Linked DNA regions of Ovis aries. The protein of the gene in region 2 purifies or fractionates together with the protein of the main gene of each other region. This does not show direct contact. Links are inferred from orthologs where the notes say so. Each region holds a gene or a part of one and is shown on either strand. Other genes may lie near its edges.

Evidence for each region.
Region 1: the proteins of PIM1 (region 2) and EDC3 purify together in Homo sapiens (affinity purification with mass spectrometry; 3 studies listed by BioGRID and IntAct, counting the BioPlex papers as one, with this or other methods). This does not show direct contact. The link is inferred for Ovis aries from reciprocal best matches to the Homo sapiens genes PIM1 and EDC3.

The regions. Positions count from the first base shown.
Region 1 is NC_056071.1:31,654,899-31,661,376, reverse strand, and holds the start of EDC3 (enhancer of mRNA-decapping protein 3), read right to left. Parts: upstream 4,053-6,478; 5' UTR 3,913-4,052; intron 1-3,912. UniProt on the Homo sapiens protein: Binds single-stranded RNA. Involved in the process of mRNA degradation and in the positive regulation of mRNA decapping. May play a role in spermiogenesis and oogenesis.
Region 2 is NC_056073.1:11,143,194-11,149,660, reverse strand, and holds the start of PIM1 (serine/threonine-protein kinase pim-1), read right to left. Parts: upstream 3,757-6,467; 5' UTR 3,361-3,756; coding exon 3,279-3,360; intron 3,160-3,278; coding exon 3,053-3,159; intron 2,943-3,052; coding exon 2,892-2,942; intron 2,794-2,891; coding exon 2,427-2,793; intron 818-2,426; coding exon 641-817; intron 1-640. UniProt on the Homo sapiens protein: Proto-oncogene with serine/threonine kinase activity involved in cell survival and cell proliferation and thus providing a selective advantage in tumorigenesis.

The sequences.
Region 1 (6,478 bases), on a different chromosome or scaffold from region 2:
CATGAAAGTGAAAAGTGAAAGTGAAGTCGCTCAGTCATGTCCGATTAGTAGCAACCCCATGGAGTGCAGCCCACCAGGCTCCTCCGTCCATGGGATTTTCCAGGCAAGAGTATTGGAGTGGCTAAGGACAATTAAATCAACAATTATGGATAAGTGGTTAGTTATGGATTTCTGAAAAACTAGGTATCTATGTAGAAACGTGTCTATAGAATCAAAAGCTTGGAAATGACAGAGATCTTGAAAGAAAACATCTACTAGTACAATCCTAGTACTAAGTCCCTATCTTCCACAAAAGGCAGCATAGTGAAAAAGGCACGGGCTTCTGAAGTCAGACATTAAAGGCCAGAATTATGAGCAAATTATCCTAATCTGAGTCTCAACTATCTCAATTATAAAATGGGAAGTAGAGCTGACCCTCGAACAACATGGGCTTGAATGGTGCAGGTCCACTTAAAATACCTATTTCCTTCACCAAATACAACAGTACTACACGATGGGCAGTTGCCTGAATGTGAGATGCAGAACCACAGATACAGAAGAACCATGTATACGGAGGGCCAGCTATAGGTTAGTCTCAGATTTTCAACTTTGCAGACGGTTGGAGGCCCTGGCCCCCAACTGTTCAAGAGTCAACTGTATACCAATTAAACGATCTCATAGAACCACTGTGAAGATTAAATGAGATAATCTATATAATTTTTACCATATACCAAATTTTACTTCAAATGTCTCCCTTTTTGGGCGGGGGGTGGGGGGGGGCAGCTTGCAGGATTTCTGTTCCCTGACCAGGGATCAAACTCATTCCCCCTGCAGTGGAAGAGCAGAGTCTTAACCACTGGGCCACCAGCGAAGTCCTACAAACACCTCCTTTTCACAGAAGGAATACTGGCCAAATAGGGGATTCAAGTTATGGCCCTAGAAAATTATACTACGAGGGTCACCTTCCGTCTCACCTGAAAAACTACAAAAATGCCTAAATTACCTCTACAACATCTTGGAAATGAAGACTCAATCTTCAAAGTGGAATACACACATCCTTAGGAGTACACAAAGACATGGAAGCAAGGGAATCAACTTCCACCCTACTCTATCATGAAGCTGATCTGCCTAGATAGCAAATAAAGACTTTCAACCATAAAGTTTATTACTTTAAAACAGGAGTCAGAAAACTACACCCATGTACCAAATCTGGCCCACTGCTAACAAAGCAGAATTGGAACAGAACCTAGTACAGCTCTCTGCTTACTGTCTGTGGCTGTTTCTGCACGTCAATGAGAGAACTGAGTAGTACTAACGGAGACCACATGGCCCACAAAGCCTACCAGCAAGCCCTTTACAGAAAAACTTTGCTGACTCCTGTTTCAGGATACAGTTCTGTGGGGTGCATACAAGTTCAAAAAGAAAAAAGAAAATAAGAAATTCCCAGAAAGATAAAACTACCAAAACTGACTCAAAAAGTTAAAAAAAAAAAAAAATCCAGACAGACTTACACCAAGTAAAGAAATTGAATGAGTAATTTTAAAATCTTCCCACACGAAAAAGCCCAGGCGCAGAGGACTTTGCTGGTAAACTCTATCAAACGTAAAGAAAGAAATAATTACCAATTCTACATAAATTCTTTCAGAAGACAGCAGAATAACGTTTTCCAACTCACATTATGAGGGTAATTTTACTCTTGATACTGAGTCCAGTCCAAAGACATCACAGGAAGAGGATACCTCAGACCAATATTCCTCATAAAAATTTTTAATATCAGCAAATTGAATTCAGCAATATATAGAAAGTAGGATACACCAAGATTCAACAGAATCCATTCTAGGAACACAAGACTGGCTTAACATCTGAAAATCAGGTAATGTAATACACCATTTATACACAGCCATATCTTCGAGGGCTTTTATATCTAAAAAAGATTATCTATATACTTTTAAAGCATCAAATTACTATTAGATTTAGAAAACTTTGTATTTATTTCTCAAAAGTCAATATTTACAACCTAACAGAAATTACATACTAAACCATTTTCAATTAAATGTTTAAATTACTTAAATTTATGATGACCCTTCCATTTCATTAAACTACACTGGGCAAATGAGATTAACCAGATGATACTTTCTCTCTTCACTTCATTAGGCAACAAATTTGATAAGAACACTCTTCAGATAAGGCTTCAAATACACACTGCATATAAAAAAGTGACAGATCCTCAACACTGATCACCAAATTCTCAGCTGTAATTGTATCCATAAAACAAATCCCTACAGACACAGATGCCCAAAGTCATGCCGTCACCTAATTTAACCACAATAGGGCAAATCTCCCACCCCATCTCACCCACCAGGTCACCAGAAAAGACTCAAATGCCTTGCCAAAATTCGGACACATTATCATTACAGATACTGTACTCCTTTGGGATACTAATATGGATGTCATGTCCTGTTGTTCTGATTGAAGAATTCTAATAACCCTGCTCCTGTAGTTGATAACAGAAAAATGCTGTATTTTCCACCTTGCATTACTTACGAATCCTGGACTCTCAAGAATCTTAATTAAACATTTTCTAGTCCAGCGTTTTTCAAACTACAGTTCTTTAGCAGTCAGACCCATTACAGGTCAGAATCAGTTTAGTGAGTTACAATCAACTTTTTTTTTTTCCTTTCAATGAAATAGAAAATGTCAGAGGGTACCACACACATAGAAGGCAAATTTTTGTTTCCTGTGTACACACTCTATGCATGCAGGGGTCACAAAGAGTCAGAATGCAAAATACATTAACTGTGGGTCACAGGTCAAAAAAGTTAGAGACACTCTATTAGTCCCACAGTCCTCAAGAAGGCTTCAACAAAAGATTCTTAGCACTCAAAGAATTATGTTTTTTGTAACCATTTCCATTTCGTACAGAGAAACCAAAAAATAGGAATTCTGTGCTCAGTACATTTAATCTTCCATTCATAAATAAAAGACTAGACTCCATCAGGTTTCCAGCTGAAATAGTGACCTGCTCAGAGGCAATCACTTAAGTTTTGATGGGATTAAGACCTTTATTTGACAGAGCGCAAACTGAAATCGGTTTAGTCTGTGGCTAGGAAAGTTAAGTCGCTCAGTCGTGTCCGACTCTTTGCGACCCGGTGGACTGTAGCCCACCAGGCTCCTCCACCCCATAGGAAAGAGAACCAAAACCAATCTGGGTCTCGAGATCCTCATCTGGTACGCCAGGAGAGGGCTGTTTGGACTCCTTCCACCTCTGAAATTGGGAAGTTTGTTGACAACCAACTGGCCAAGCAGGTGAGGACTATGCCTCCCCCACACCAAAACACTTGAACCATTCAACAAGTCAATTACTGATCAATTCAACCAATATCACACAAAGAGTACCGATAATAAGAAACTAAGACTTTCACTAACAACAGTAAAGAATCAAGGGGAAGTAAGTCTCCAGGAATAGCAGAAGCTGCCCCCTGCCAGGTATCACTAATTTCTCAGCCACCCTCTCCTCTCAGACTCCAGTTCATCTCCGTCCCCCAGATATCTGTCATGGATGTGGTACTCGCGTTCTTCCCTGCCACCGTTCTCCACTGTGCAAAAGGAAACTGGGGCAGGGAGCAATGAGGGGGTGGGCTGCAGGAGCCATTAACAAAGCTAAACTAAGAGCCTAGGCCGCTAACGCCTCACACCTCCCACAATTCCTCGACTGCTGAGAGTCCCGTTCCCTCGACCTCCACCTCAAACCATGCCCCGGAGGCAAGTCCTAGTAATGGGCCCCAGCGCACCCGAAGCGGCCCCTATCTCGAACCCTCCGCTCTAGAAGTCTGCAAGGCCTGGAACCACGAAGCCTAAAACCAAACTCCCTGGCAACCCTGGAAGACCCCTCCCACGAGCGCCCACCAGCCACCCGGCCCCCGTCGCGCCTACCTCTACGCCTCCAAGCCTACGCCTCCTCGGTTCACCACACCAAGCCTGCCTCGAAGCACCGCAAGACCCTGAAACTAAGGGTCTTCTTCACACCCACCCCCACAGCCACGGCCGCCGCCGGAAGCGCCCTGCGTCTCCACGCCACCGTCGTGAGGTCACTTCCGGCGCGACGCTTCGGAACCCGGTGGCGGGGCGCCCGGGAAATTTGAGAATTTGGAAACAATAACTACTAGGACCAGCTGTGTGGCCTTCCAGAACCGCGCCTGCTAGGCCTAGTTCCCTGTGCCCCGGCTACCTATACGGGTGGAGTCTGGGTTCGAGTTGGAGTCCTGCCTGCGTCCCAGGCTCGGTTGCTGGGGAGCTGTCTTCCCTCTCGTAGCATTGATGGAAAGCTCCGACTTTCCTGCCAGTTCCTCTTATGCTAATCACCGAACCAGAGCGGAAGACTTTGGCTAGGAGGCTGCCTCTGTTCTCATGGCCCCTATCCTCGATCAGTTGCAGCTGTGGGATGCAATTAGTAGATCCCCGTGATGGATTAAAGGAAAAAAATTTCCTTCGTGGTTGATCTTCAAAGTTTATCAGCTTCAGCTCGTTTGGGGCTTAGTGTCAGCCAAACTGTGCTTGAATACCTTTCCCCACTGCCACCCCTAGTACTCAGTACATGGGAAAGTGCCACTCTCCTTCCTGTGGCATTTTAGAATCTCGGTCGCCTTGATTTTGAAAAAAGCAGCCGTTTAGGATCAAGACTGAATGTAATGAGTAAGTTTATAGTTGCCAAGGTCATCTTGAAGCCTGACATCTGGTTTAGGAACCACTGCTTGAGCAGGCAGCGTAGAGGAGGGCAGGGGTTCCAAATCTGGCTCATGCAAAATAAGTCGAAGAACTTTAAATTTTTTTCTGTTTTCAAGAACTGTCCCTTTCCTTCCTCCGACACTAAAAATTCTGTTTTAGTAGGTCTGGAGAGTCCATGGCATCTGTTATTTTAAAGGTTTCTTCCAGTCAATTCTTAGCAGACCAAGGTTTGGAAACGCCTGGTGTATCAGACTCAGAGTTGAATCTTTGCTCTACCTTTTCTTTTTAATTATTATTATCATTTTACAAAGGAGCTGTGCCTCTCTGGAAATAATAGCTAACAGTTACTGTGAAATTAATGAGATTTGCTGACCATGATTGATATTCCACACACACACACAAAAGGTTGTTAATTCTCTTGTGCCTCCCTTTGGTTATGGTGGTATGCATATGTGCTACGTCTCTTCAGTATAATCCACTCCAAGTTATTTTTTAAACGCACAGGAGAATCAACCTTTCATCTTGTTCTCTGTAGCAAACACTGCTGTAACCCCAGAGGTCAGTTGGATATTATGCCTACTCTTGCATCCCCATCACCTTGCACTGCTGCTGCTAAGTCGCTTCAGTTGTGTCCGACTCTGCCTTACCCCATGGACTGCAGTCTACCAGGCTCCTCCGTCCATGGGATTTTCCAGGCAAGAGTACTGGAATAGGGTGCCATTGCCTTCTCCAATCACCTTGCACAGTTCAGTTCAGTTCAGTCGCTCAGTCGTGTCCGACTCTTTGCGACCCCATGAATCGCAGCACGCCAGGCCTCCCTGTCATCACCAAATGCTGGAGTTCACTCAGACTCGAGTCCATCGAGTCCGTGATGCCATCCAGCCATCTCATCCTCTGTTGTCCCCTTCTTCTCCTGCCCCCAATCCCTCCCAGCATCAGAGTCTTTTCCAATGAGTCAACTCTTCGCATGAGGTGACCAAAGTACTGGAGTTTCAGCTTTAGCATCATTCCTTCCAAAGAAATCCCAGGGTTGATCTCACAGTGCCTGCCAAATAGTAGGTTCTAAAATAAATGTGTATTGAATGAATGAAAGGATTGTCCAAAGATCCTCTATATAGACTTTCCCTGGAACTCAAACTGGGAGTCTCTAGTCAGATCTGAAGTCTGAGCTGATCAGTCACTAAACTTTGGAAAAGATCAACAACTGCCTTAATTCTACTAAATGAATTGCTCTGCTTAGAGAATTCTGCTGCATTGTTTTGGAACTTTGACCTCATGGAAAGATCAATCACCCAGACTTTTAAGTTTCTTAAAGCTCTTAAGAATTATTGAGTTTCTCCTTTGATCTACAGAGAATGGCAAATACATTCAGAATTAGAATGGAGAATCGTTGTTTCACACAGTTTTACACAAATGGTATGTTTTCTCAGCAGAATCGGGAATGTTTACTAATTACACAAAAAATTCAGATTAAAGATCAGCATCTTATAGAGTTAGGGAAGCCAGGAAGTCATGCTATAAAGTCCTTCCAAACTCCTTGTCCTTGCTACAACCACCATATATACAGACTGACTCAGTGTGTTAAAACTGAACACTGATTGGGACAAGAAATACACACTATGTGCCTGAAACATACTGTTGTACAAGATAGCAAAGAAGCTATCAAAAACTACTACATTTTTGTCAAAATAACTCAGATGCCAACTTGAAGAGGCTCCCATTGGTCAAAAGTAGGACAGTATGGGCATCAATAATAACAATAGAAATTCATCAA
Region 2 (6,467 bases):
AATGAGAAGGTATTAACTAACATCTAGAGCCTCCAGTTTGCTTTCAGCTTAAAAAAAAAACAAAAAACCAGCTCCCCTCTTAAACCTGTGGTTTTCAAACTTCAAGACCTTTCCCACGACGCCCACTCACCAGAAATAGGAAGGCTGATGACAAGGGATTTTGATGAGACATCACTAAGCATGATGAAGTGATTCAATTCACCTAGCCGACTTATAAATATGAACACCACCCACAATGAGGTCACTGGAACCGCAGTATTTAGAGAGGGCCTGGCCTGCCTTAAGGGAGAAGGCTCAAAGAGCCCTCAACTTCTTACTCCCGGGCAAAACAGCCAGGAGTTAAGGGATCAGGATTTTGGGGTATTTGAAAACAAATGAAAAAAATCTTCCAGTGATACTAAATGATCTTTTTCTTCCTAATATTCACAGGTGCTCTTCCTCTGACCTCCCTGCGAAAGCACCCACAAATGCACATCATTTGATTCCTGCAGACTGGCTCTCAAGCATGATCACTGGCCAAGAATCCTGCTAAAACCAAGGGTCACAGCCTCTCCTGGGGAGTAAAGCTCTGCAAGCTCGTCAGGGACTATCAGCCTCGTGATTCCAGCCTCTCCTCAATAAGGGGCTTCCCAGAAGTTACCTGAGGAGACCCGCTGCCTGAAGAAAACTTGGCCCCTGACGATCTCCTCATCGTGCTCAAAGGGAATATCTCCGCACACCATGTCATACAGCAGGATCCCCAGAGACCAGACGGCTGCCGACCTGCCATGGTAGCGATGGTAGCGGATCCACTCTGGAGGACTATACACTCGGGTCCCTGTGAGTCAAGGGAATAGGAAGGAAAACATGCTTTTAGCAAAAATAAAACTCACAGCAACTGAGAGGTATGCTGAGTAACTTAAAAAAAAAAATAAATAAGGCACCACCCTACTTCTGTCAGCAGCTGAGTGAACTCCAATCCCCCCTCCCTAGGGCTAACAAGAGTGGTTGAGCAGCTTATGGCAACTCTCCAACCCAAAGCATTACCGACTTCTCTATCAGCCCAGACCATAAACAAACAGCTCCAAGAAACAAACAGGGCCAGCCACAAACCCAAGCACCAGACTTGGATGTGGTAGGACCACCCACAACTGGAGGAGGAGATGAACACATGCATAATCAAGGGAGGTATCCCCACAGACTATCCTTAAATTGCATTAGAGGTCCTCGCCCAGGAGCAGGTCAGAGTGCCACCTCAGATATGATCCAGGCAAGGACACTTGCACAATATCCTAAGTCAGGGTGCCCTTTAAGAGGCCTTCCTCTCCACCCTCTGAATGCAAGGGCAGACACCCACACACCCCTTCCTCCATCCAAGGGAGAGGTAGCACTGCTGGGCTGGCTTCAGACCACGTGATTCCTGTTTACAAACTTTGAGTTGTAAAAAAAAAATGTGGGGCCATCCCGCTGGCGCTCACCAGGGGGCAGCAAAGACTGGAAGGAAAAAACATGGGAGGACCCGGCCAGCCATTAACTGTTAGATACAAAAAAAAATACAGCCCAACCCAGCGTCCTCCAAGGGCAAATAAACACAAACCACAAGCCCCAGTCACAAGTTTTGAAAGGCTGTCGTTTGTTAGGTTAAGCCGCTCAGATGATGACCCACCCTCCTCTGCTTTGATCTCCGAGCTCTCCATTCCGTCTTTTCTGAAAGAACCCGCTCCAAGCCCCTCCCTAGGATAGGTTTTCATCCTCTCTGTGGAGACACCCAACTAATTTTCAAACCAGCAAGAGATCCTATTTCACAACATTCATTCCCGAGTCCCTCACTCCACATCACCACCAAGATAAAATAATAATAACAAGAATCAACAAAATGAATTATTTAGTAAAACTACTCTTCTCTTCCTTATTCGTCCCTAGATCAAAGGGGAGGGGAAAACACACACACACACACACACACACACACACACACACACACACACACACACACACTGCAGCTCTAAAAACTACCTCAACCGAAAACTCCCTTATAAATCAAAACAAAAATGACAAAACCGGCAATCAATTTTCATCTCTCCCGCTCTCTCCTCCCCCTGTCCCCTCCCTCTCATCCTTCTACCGGCGGGGAAACTGGGTCAGACTTCAGAAATCTGGGCTACGGCCGGTTGCCCACAACCTCTTATTCATGGGGAAAGCTTGGAACCCACTGAATTTCACTTAAAAAATAAAATCATGCCAGAGACATTACAGGTTCAGCTGGCTCGAAATTCCCAGCTTTCCTACCCTGGGAAGCCCTCCTTCGCCCCACCCCTGCTAGCATCGAGCCAGGCGGCCCGATGACCTTTACAAAGGGCCGGGGAGGGAAGCCTGCCGAGGCCTCCAGGCCAGGCCGAGTCACCTGGGCAGTTCCCCTCCCGGGGAGCTCCCCCTCAGGCGTGACTCACCATCGAAGTCCGTGTAGACGGTGTCCTTGAGCAGCGCCCCCGACCCGAAGTCGATGAGCTTGAGCTCGCCGCGATTGAGGTCGATAAGGATGTTCTCGTCCTTGATGTCGCGGTGAAGCACCCCGCAGTCGTGGCAGTGTCGCACCGCCTCCAGCACCTGCCAGAAGAAGCTGCGGGCCAGCTCCTCCTGCAGGGCCCCTCTTTCCGTGATAAAGTCGAAGAGGTCTTGCACTGGCTCCGGCCTCTCCAGGATCAGGACGAAACTGTCGGGCCTCTCGAACCAGTCCAGGAGCCTAATGACGCCGGAGAAGCCCGAGCTCACCTTCTTCAGCAGAACCACTTCCATGGGCACTCGGGTGCCATTAGGCTGCAGAGGGGCGAGGGGGGCTGCAGTTAGGGCGGGGACGGGTCACAGGGTGCCCCACTCTACCCATCCCGGGGGGTCGCTCCCTCCAGGATACTCACCAGCTCTCCCCAGTCGGAAATCCGGTCCTTCTCCACGTGCTTGATGGCCACCTGGAAAGCCCCCCCATAGAGTCTCTGTTAGAGATTCCCTCGCCGGGGGGCAAACACACCGGCGTGCCCCCGGCCGGCGCGCCCTCCTCGCAAGCCGGGCGCCCACTCACCGGCAAGTTGTCGGCGACACGAATGCCTGAGTACACCGAGCCGAAGCCGCCGCTGCCCAGGAGCGGGCCCACCTGGTACTGCGACTCCAGGGGCTCCTTCTCCTTGCCTATAGGAAAGGAAGAGTCCCAGGAGACTCAGTGACGGCCCGCGAGCCCCCCAGCTTCAACCCTCGAGGTCCAGCCGCCCCCCACCTCCATCCAGGGTTGGTGGGAGAGAGGCACTTACCCGGCGCCAGCTTGGTGGCGTGCAGATCGCTGCAGGGCGCGGCGCGCAGGTGGGCAAGCGAGTTGATTTTGGACAAGAGCATCCCCACCTCCAGGGTGTCGGCGCTGAGGCTGTGTCTGGAGGAGCTACTGCAGTAGGGGCTAGGGCTGCGCCGGCGGCTGTGCCTAAGGCCGGGGCTGAGGCTGCGGGTGGCGTTGCGGCTGCGGCTGCGGCTGGCGCGGAAGGCCGAGGGCGAGTCGGAGGACGACTGGGGGCGCTGGCGGCTGACGGACACGCCGGCAGGGTCAGGCAGCGCCGCGGGCGGCAGGGTGGGCGGCTCGAGGGGCTGGTGTGGCAGCGCTGCGGCACAGGGAGTGTGTAGCTGTAGCTGCTGCTGCTGTTGCCGGTCCCGCCACCGCCGCCGCCGCCAAGTCCTCTCCGGCCTCCTCCGCCACCGCGGCCGCTGCAGCAGACGCCCGGCTCGCCCTGCCGCCAGGAGTAAAAGGGGCGGAGCGCGCCGGCGGGGAGGGGGCGCGCGGGCGGGCGGGGATGGGGCGGGGCCTCTCCGGGAGGCCTAGGCGGGGGAAGCCGGGCGGCCGGGCCGGCGGAGGGAGGAGAGGGGGTGGGGGAGCGGCGGGACAGGGCGACTCCCCTCCGCACCCCCCCCTCCCCGCTCGCCCTCCGTGGCCGCGCCCCGCCCCCGCCCCCGCCGGCGCGCCTCCAGCCAACCAGAGGCCGGCTCATCTGCATAACGCGGCGCGCGCCCCGCCCACGCCCCGCCCCGGCTCTCGCGGTCAGAATGGTCTCTACGCCGCCACGACGTGGCGGGAAGGAAAAGGCGCCAAAATGGAGGGGGAGGGGCGCTGGGGCGTGCGGGGAGGCGGGAGCTGGGTGTTGAGCCGCGAGGGAGGAAGGATGGGGAGGGGCGTATCGATTCAAACCCAAACAATAACAAAGCCTTCAAAGGCCGCCCGAGGCCGGCTCTGCGGCTCTCCATTTCTCGGGGTTTTTGGGTCAAGGGCTAAGAGCTGGAGCATAACAAGTTGCGCAGAGAAGACAGCCGTTGGTGTGTCAGGCCCCGAGGCCCGGCGGCCGGCGCGCCGGGGTGTGAGCGACTGTGTCGGGGGGGCAGGGGGAGGATGCCGACGAGGGTGGTCTTTATGTCTGACTCAGACGCGAGACCTCCAAGTCGGCTTGGGCGGGTTGACCACGCGCTGTGGGATCGGGCTGGATTCTCTGGGGTTTGGATGTTGGGGGCGCAGGATCTGCAAGATATGAGTCACAACGGCGGCTTCACGGAGGTGTCACAGGCCTGGAATAAAACCCGGAGAGCTCCGCTCGCTCGGGGGAGGGGTCCAGATCGCGATTGTCACAGCCGGTGAAAAGATCGGCCCCCAGATCCCCTGGCAGATTTTTATGTTTTAAAAAATGCAGAAAGGTTCCAGTGAATCCTGATGCCGAAGAAGTGATGTGTGTCAGAGTGCCCAGTAAAGAGGAAATCACGAAACAAATGTTAGTATTGTGATGCCAGATGCTGTCTCAGCCCCTTCTGTGAGGGCGGGAGAGAAGAAAATGCCTCATCTAAGAGCGAGGGTGGGAAGGCGCGCTAGATGTGATCAGAGTTTTCACGTTGTATTCACCTTCTCGTCATCCTGTTATTACCAGACAGGCAATATTAGCAATTATTGGCTGCCCCCAGTCTTGACTCAAAGGAAATTCCCCCCTCACCCCCACTCCATGCCCCCTTGGAAATAACACGGAAACTGACCAATTCGACTTTCATCCTTTGTCCTTTTAAACTTCTTGTAGAGTTGATAACGACGTGTGAAATGAGTAAATTAAAATTCTTTGTAATCCGTAAATTGAGTTGTCGGGTCCTCCTAAGTAATTGAAAGCTAACTACATCCTCTTTTAATTTTTTTTTCAAGTTTCTGCCACTTAAAAAATGAGGTCTGAGGATCTGTATAGCTGCACTCATTAATGAATTTAAATGTTTCATTAAAAGTTTTCTACAATGCTGTTATATAAAGATGCTCAGATATTTCACAACTTTTATTATCTTATGAAATATTACATATTTTCCTTTTGTATACTGTGGCCTAACTCATTCATTTTCGATGACTAGGAAAAAGCCCAAGGGAACAAGAATTATTCCTTTTTTACAGATAGGAAAATGAAACATAAATAAAATGACACAGGGTCATACAACAGCTAAGAGAAGAAGAGATAAAACAACACAAATTCAACCCCTGACTATCCAAAATTTTCCTCATGTTGGGCTCTAAAACTGTTCTTTGTACTGAGTAAGACGTCAAGTATCAATCAATGTATGTGACCCCCACCTCCGTCCCCTCTTCCTTTCCTCTCATAAGCCCTACTGGACTATTCTCACTTGTTCCCACTTGTCTAGCATTTGTAGAGCTGGACTTTCTGCCTTTGTAGAGGTAGTCAAATTGTTCTGAGAATGCCCCCTCTACACTTTCATTTAAAGTCCTTCCAGACTTCAGGACACAATTAAAATAGTTCCACTCCAGATTGCTAGGCAAACTGTCTATGCCACTTAATCATGTATTTGTTTCTTGGTTTTTGGTTTTTTTAAAAAAATCTATTAACTTTTCAGTTATTTATACCTTGTCTTCCTATTCCTTGAATGAATACGTTATCCAATATTCATTGATGAAGGGAAAAATCAAAATGGGTCCCAACAAAAAGTTCATGATTAAAGTCATTTTATACCAAATTTAAGTGAATTAAGTGGGCTTAGGCAAAGTAAAAATAAAGGTTAGGAACAATCTTTAAACTGGGTTAGCCTGCTTTCAGATCTGGGATCTGGCACCTACTACTTAATATGACATTCATGAAGTTGCTTAACCTTTCATCAGCTTGATCTTTCCTCAAATTGCTTTAGACTCTGAATGGAGATAATGACACCTCCCTCATAGGACTGTTGTAAGGAGCAAATGAAATTCTACATATAAAGCTCGTAGACTGGCATGAAGTAAACTTCCAATAAATATTAGCTATGATGGCAATGATGCTGATTATGATTATAACGATGATGAAAAGGAAGAATTTGGGGATGGTCTTGCACCATGGAAGTTTCAAAGATAACGTACTAGCTAGTTAGATTTTAATCATCTTGGGAGAGAATATGATTCAAACTAGTTGTATACATTCAATCAAATTCACTTTCTCTAGATCTTTGTAGGG